Linked DNA regions of Neodiprion lecontei. The protein of the gene in region 2 purifies or fractionates together with the protein of the main gene of each other region. This does not show direct contact. Links are inferred from orthologs where the notes say so. Each region holds a gene or a part of one and is shown on either strand. Other genes may lie near its edges.

Evidence for each region. Proteins that work in one complex are often made in the same cells at the same time.
Region 1: the proteins of RISC-loading complex subunit tarbp2 (region 2) and endoribonuclease Dicer purify together in Drosophila melanogaster (affinity purification with western blotting; 9 studies listed by BioGRID, with this or other methods). This does not show direct contact. The link is inferred for Neodiprion lecontei from reciprocal best matches to the Drosophila melanogaster genes loqs and Dcr-2.

What each region holds. Positions count from the first base shown.
Region 1 is NC_060266.1:18,273,831-18,277,588, reverse strand, and holds the start of endoribonuclease Dicer, read left to right. Parts: upstream 1-931; 5' UTR 932-1,539; exon of another isoform or gene 1,540-1,556; intron 1,557-1,562; exon of another isoform or gene 1,563-1,782; intron 1,783-2,031; 5' UTR 2,032-2,035; coding exon 2,036-2,193; intron 2,194-2,621; coding exon 2,622-2,799; intron 2,800-3,290; coding exon 3,291-3,530; intron 3,531-3,618; coding exon 3,619-3,758.
Region 2 is NC_060261.1:39,599,263-39,603,020, forward strand, and holds the start of RISC-loading complex subunit tarbp2, read right to left. Parts: upstream 2,370-3,758; 5' UTR 2,140-2,369; intron 910-2,139; 5' UTR 901-909; coding exon 585-900; intron 1-584. Other genes in the region: general transcription and DNA repair factor IIH helicase subunit XPB, read left to right, coding at 3,496-3,529, 3,631-3,758.

The sequences.
Region 1 (3,758 bases), on a different chromosome or scaffold from region 2:
TTAAATCAGACATTATTAAAATTCTTTTGAGTAATTGTAAACTACACGATGTGGTCCAATTGAATTTTTTTCTCTAACGTTATTCCTGTGAAATAATAACAAATAGACAAATAAATTTACTCCGTTTTTGGAGTATTCAAATGGTGTGATCGGAACGAGTCTTTTACAGTCAATATGTGAATGGGCTATGGTTACCAAAGTTTTTTGGGTAGCTGATCAAGGATTTCACATTACTTTGAAAAATCAATTTGTTTAAATAATTTGCTTGACCAGTCAATGTGAATATGTAAGCTCCATGAAGTTCCCGATGTTTTCGGAATTTGAAATTATGTTGAGAATTCGACATTACGTTTCCAAAGGTAATTTGTTTAAATAAATTATGAAAAACAATTGAAATTTGAAAAAAAAACATAATCATTTCCATTAATTGTAATGGATAACAGAAAAATTACAATTGTTCCAAGTAATTGTAATTAGTAGCAGAAAAATTACAATTTTTTCAAGTAATTTTAATTGACAACAAAAAAATTACAATTATTTCGAGTAATTGTCGTTGATAATCATAAAATTACAATTGTTTATACTAACTGTAATTGGTAAATCAAAATTTATAATTATTTCCCGCAATTGTAATTAGTTACTAAATATTACAGTTATTCACAGTCATTGTAATTTACGGGTAATGAAATGACGAAAGTAATTTCTGCTGCCCAATTCTGATTACATCTAGGGGGAAATCTGGGGAGATTTTACTTCCTTCACGGTTCGTTTTTTGCTGTTGTAGCGTGGCGCTACTGGCTGTCACAGCATGCAAGGTCCCTAGATTAGGAAGGTCAAGACACGCGTGTTCCAGTTTTTCTGACTATAACATGGGCAAAAATGTTCTATGCGCGTTCGCCCAAAAAATATCAAACTTACATTACCGCATTAACTAGGTTTGACCGATCTTGCTCAATTTTTTAAGGTTAAGCATTACCGAGTTGCGCCTTTAGTATCCTGACGTGCACGAAATAAATTGAACCACGTATATATTTTGAGGTTAATCATTGTGACAGGTCAGGAATTAGAACCACACCGGGTGCTTTCCATTTAGAGCACAGTGTGACAAATTTCTATTGTAAGCGGCCAATCCGGGCAAAGAAATAGACCAGAAATGTTTACACTGTGTCATATTGTGCTCTAAATGGAAAGCATCGATTGTCATACGAAACTTTTGGCGCATTCTCACTAATTTTTTTGTCCACGCGTGTCGTGACCACTGGTCGTGACCTTCCTAATCTGGGGACCTTGACAGCCAGACCGTGCACAGCATCATTGCGCTGGCCGTGAAAATTCAGCCTAAGTGTAGGGCACTGCCATTACCTCCACGCTTTCAGCGCCCTGCGAGATACGTCAAACATAGTTAGCCGGCCTTAGAAATTTTTCGTCAAAGATTTGAAGCATCGAAGCACTGCGCGATTCAGGGATCCAGCAGAGATCCGGCGAATTGTCAGTGCATCAAAGAAGCAGTGTCTGGGAGTCCCCGTGTTTTATTCTCCGGTACCACTTCCCAAATCGTGAGGAAACGCTTTCCACCAATTGAATTGTACAACTGTTCTCAGTAATATACCGTGTACTTGAAAATTTCCTCTCATTGAAGTGATCAATATGTTTTTGTATTTCTGTATGGTTTTACTAGTTGTTTTGTAACACGAAAATCTAACCTAACCTGTAACGTCGATTCGACTACATTTGTTTTCAAATCTTCATAGCTTTTTGGTTGTTTGTCTCAACAGAAAAGAGGTAAACTGAGGTTTTAATAATAATTTAAAGTTTTGTATTAGCAAAATCATAATCAATAACTAAACTACCGGTTTATAACTGTAGTCGCTACTTCCGAAGATAAGTAACATGAAAAATAAAAAGTCTGATGTTTCCAGCAGATTTTGCTAATTAATCTTTTACCAATGCCACCCATTAATTTACGTCTTAGACTCGTAACAACATTGAATTATAATTAATCTAAAATCTAAAATATTTCTGTTTCCTTAGCATCATGGTACAGCCAATCGAAGAATTTTCAGCCAGGCCATATCAGATTGATCTGTATGAGAGAGCCGTCCAGTATAACAGTATCATATACTTGCCAACAGGGGCAGGAAAGACATACATTGCTGTCATGATCATAAAAAAATTGAGCGGCGATGTGATCAAGTAATCATTTATTCATTGTATTTTATAACTCCTCCTCCGCCATCCAGTTCTTATTCTAGACTAGTTAGTCCTGGTCAGAACTCATTTTTAATAATACAAGTTTCAACTCATTCTTAAATATAAGTCACATTATGACATGTACTTTCATAGTTTCAATTCTACTTGTCAATGGATTATTGTACATATATTAGTTTACAAGTCACCGGTCTAACTTTATAAACAACTGATCCTGCTTTTTGAACAAATCTATGATTATTCACAGAGTTTAGCATGAGCGTTTGGTGATGAAATCAATCCATTAATATTTTCTAATGTAATTCACTTATATCTTGTGTATTTTTTTTCTGTCACTTATTGATTTACTTATTAATTCATTTTCTAGGGCTGAAGCTTACTAATAATTCAACGATTGTTTGCTTTTTTCTTAGGCCTTACAGTGTCGGGGGTAAAAGAACAATTTTTGCAGTGAATACTGTTGCTCTGGCCGATCAGCAATTAAGATACTTACAAAGACATACTCATTTAAATTGTAGCAGTTACACAGGCGAAATGCAGGTTGATTATTGGAGCAGAGATAAATGGTTACAAGAATTGGAGGATAATCAGGTATTACTCAATATAAATATTATCTATATTTCCTGAAACTTTGTAATACCAGTAGTGTAGATAAAGTATTTCAATTGCCATCAATTGATGGCAAACTAAAACTTTTGTCATCATTTTCAATGAATACCGCAATAATTAGAAAATTCAATTTCTAACCAGCATTCAGGTATTTTCTTTCATTTTCGCGATTATTTGCAACACATGGACAACAACAAAGTTCAAATATATGTACAATGAAGCTCAAACTTTTTTTTTCTTTAAGAAATTATCTGTTTAAAGAACATTTAATCGTTATTTTGATGTCTGCAATAGTTTTGAGAGTTATCACAGTTAGTCATTCCAAGGTGGTTTTTATCTCAATTTCCTTAATGCAAAGGACCCTGCAATCGTTTAAATTCAAGATGATTTTGTGTACATACTAATATGTCGTTATCTCAAATTATTATATCAATATTGATGTTGAAATATACCTGCTACTAACCGATTTCCAGGTCCTAGTTATGACTTCCCAAATATTCCTTGATATATTGAATCATGGCTATATATCATTGAGCCAAGTAAATCTCATGATTTTTGATGAGTGTCACCGAGCTGTGAACGACCATCCGATGCGTTTGATAATGCAGCGTTTTAAGGATTGCCCAAAGGACCAGCAACCAAGAGTCTTGGGCCTAACAGCGACTCTTCTGAACGGCAATATCAAAGTTGCAAAGCTTGACGAGACGATAACAGTAAGTTAACAGAATTATTTATATAAACCTACTCTGTGGATTTCTATTTTTATTTTATGCTTCATGTTTTATAAATGTATTTTCAAAGGATTTAGAAACTACGTTTCATGGAAAAATTATCGCTGTTGAATCATTGATTGGCGTTAGAGGCTATGCTACAAACCCTATAGAATCCATGGTCAGATTCAGTCCACCGTTAAGGCTGACAGTACTAGAATCGACAATGGC
Region 2 (3,758 bases):
GAAAATATTTAGGAGTATGACAAACATCAAATAAGTATCAATTTCAATGTTGAATGATTTAGTAATGGACTGGATTGGAATAGAATATTATATGATTGAAAAAAATCAGTGCTACTTATAATTTCCATTGAAATTGAAAGGGTGAACAGATATTTCAATATAAGCTACCATGCTTAGGAAATTGATGTTCAATCATTTATTACATCAAAATAACACTCTCACTCATTCATATTGGTTGACACTAGTATGAGGTAATTGAAAATCATATTTCAGCCTTGTTGTATTACAAGAATGCGAACAATTAGTGAAGAACTTAGACAATTATTTGTAGTGACAGTTAAAAATATTTTGATAAAAGTGTAGAACCTACGCTATCATGCTTACAAAATTAATTTTCATCAATTATCCTTATTTACTGGATTCCATCAACAAACGAACTGGGTAAAAGAAAACCATTTGTCAGACCCTTGTTTTACACAAAAGAATTGAACTCTCAATTAATTACTTAACATTTAATACGGCCAACTATTTACTTCAACATTTACACAAACTCTTAGGTGAAAAAATTTATAGGACATGCTTACCAACAACATCAGAGACAGTGACACGATAACGGAAGGTAGGTTCATGTATGGCACCCTCTATTTGTACAAGTTCATATTTTGGGGTAGTGCCTCTGCGAGACAGAAGCTCTTGCAAAACGGAAACAGGAGTTTTAGCAGGCATTGCCTTCATTTCTAAACGTGCTGCCTCGTCCAACGGTAATGCCTCGGACATAAGAGTGTGCATCGTCACACGATTCCTGCCATGACGATGTACGCTGTTAGGATGAATCGTTTGAACCCCAATTCCACTCATGATATTGGGCACGACTTGTTGAGAATGACGCATCTCGTCCATGTTATTATTCTGTAAAACAAAAAATAATAATTATCGTTTTGTTGAGAAGGAAAATATTTTGCGCAACAACTGAGCTAATATTTAGACATATGTGCATATCTATTTCTGTGAAATCAAGTGAGCAGCTTATTGCTCGACTGAGGAAAATTAAATATCACCTTAAAAATTTGAAGCTTGTACAAAAATTTTTAGAGAGTAATCAATATTTCTGTGAGATTGAATTGTTACCGTTCACTTATTCGATGCATATTTTTTAGATACTGACGGAAGTGGATTTTCTATTTTTGAAAATGAGCTACAAACAGACTCTCAAATGAACAACTCTACATCTACTTTTGCATTCTGACCCAGATTTGTCATATTAAAATATCAGAATCGACATGGTTATTTAATGCCTAACCATACAGCTAATCCTGAAAGTAATTTCAGGGGTAAGTCACATGCTTCAATGATATCCTTTAGCATCCGACTTACCGATAAGATTAGAGTTTAGAAATAATCACTCCACATACCGGTTCAAATATTGCGGTTTACCGAACTCTAAAACCTGCCGTATCTGAATACTTATCAACCTTAAGATCAATCCTTCGACACTTTCGTTGTAAAAAATTTACACGTCCCGAAAGGAGTTCCACAAATACTTTTGTAAATTTGACACAAATTGTGGATGAAAAATCCTGCGGCGAATAGCCGTAGATATCATGCTGTATTTTTGTGAAGTGACAAGTCGTCGAAGAGCACGCTTGTTGTATTGCGAAAATAGGAGATCGTCGTCACATAACTAGACTGGTTCGTCCGAAACAAACACGCGGTAAGTGAGGTGAAGGACAGAAAGTACGCTGGGTTCTACGATGACGCGTTGAGCCCATCAGGCACTTGCCGGTCCTTGATCCGAATGAAACGCGGGACAAAAATACGTCCGTAGACCTTTGTTATTCAGAGGTGTAAGCAGGTAATAAGACACCGGCGGACGGCCATGTTTGTTATAAAATTTTCATCGATTGAATCTTAAATTGGTAAGTAAGGACAGACCGGTGCGACGATGAGGGACGATTGGAGGATGGATGGATGAAGAAAGGTTAGATCTTGAGGGTAGTAGAAGTTGTAGAAGGAATGAAATAAAGATCTAACGCCCACAGACACGCATCGTGACATCGAGCGAAGCTAGCTCGAGGCTGCCACTCGTAGATATGCGTGGATCGCGAAGAGGTTCGACGGTGTTATGAGGCTTATACTCACAATTAACCACCCAGCAAAGTACAGATATCCTGACTTCTGCGGCTCGCCAATTCCTATGCGAAAAGCGAATCCCGCTTTTTGTGACCGATCCAAGTCTCACAAAAAGCTTGATCCGTTTGACGACAGAAAAATGGTTTATGGACTACCGGAGAATCCTTCCTTGTTTGCGGCTCTGCAGCAATATGCTCTCTGCTACATCAGACCTGCGCTGTGAACTTTTGCGCCGCCGGCATGCGCGCTTCGCCCAGGCACCGTATGATTGTGTTCTACGATTATAAGATTGTTACTGTCACGATATTCGCACTGAAGCAAGCTGCGGATGTCATTCAATTCTAAAACAGGTGAACTACGGTATTTTATTTTCTTCTGTCATTGCCGGTTGCCAATAATCATGCGTAAAATTATTCGCGCGAATAACGTAATTCGTGCGTTCTTAGCGATGAGCGCAATCTATGCGCCGTACTCGATGCGCAAGCCTTAAACTTGCCTGGGTGCCAAGTTTTGGTTACCAAAACCGTTGATTGATTACAGGAGAGCCGAATAAACAGTGTATCTAGATCGTTTCAGCAAAAACTCGACCACGTGGATAGTCCGTGGTGTAAACAGGCCGACTTTAATGCATGTCCACACGGACGCAACAGGATTACGGCAGTCCATGTACGATCAACAAATAACGCGCGATTTTTTCCTTTCAATTAGTAAATATTTTGATATTCGAGGTATACTTTAAAACCGACTTGAACAACAATCCTGTTCTCTTGGCGAATATAACACCGAATTTTGACTTACACTTTCGATAATCGTGCTGTAACACCTGGTTCTCATCATTCATTGATCGCGTATCGGAGAGAATTTTAAACCGAAGTATAAATATGTAATTATAATTATCTGGCTTTTAATTTTACTTTCTTAGTAAGATCAAGTTTCATTAGTTGTCAATTGTAACGTGTTTAGTGATCATTCAATCGCTCGTCCCTTATAATAATGCATATTACGACTATTGCAATTCGCTTTTTCAAGTTACAACCACGGTTACAACATGCTGCGCAGATCGTTTTTTTTCTCGGTTTTGCTCAGAAAACTGACAGCTCTGATCGAGATAGCTGACCTAACTTAACATGAAACGCACTTCAAGTCATACTTCAGCCAAACTTCAGGTTGCCTGTGAGGGCTGTGAGGTTATGTCAAACCAGATACAGTGCTGACCGTTGCCAGTCCGCAATGTGAGAGTTGTGTAGTGGTTATAAGTTTATTTACCGGGATTTACATCGACTGATTTTTCAGTGTCAAGGTGTGACGGCGTTGAATCAGTGTACAAATCATTTTGCCTGTGACTAATTTTTAAGCGGGGCTATCATGGGCCCGCCAAAGCGATTCAAAAAAGATAATGGTACATAACCCTTGAACACTTTTTCACCGTTCGTTTAGAGATACACTTCGAATTTTTTAATTTCTCATACTCATACGGTTCTCAATTTATTTATCATATAGACAAGGGCAAATGGAAAAAACGTAAGGAAGATCACGATGAATATTTCGACGACGACCACGGTGATGGTGGTGATACTGAAGGCATTCCTGATGCGGCTAAAAATGATATTGAAAAACAAGACGAAGGG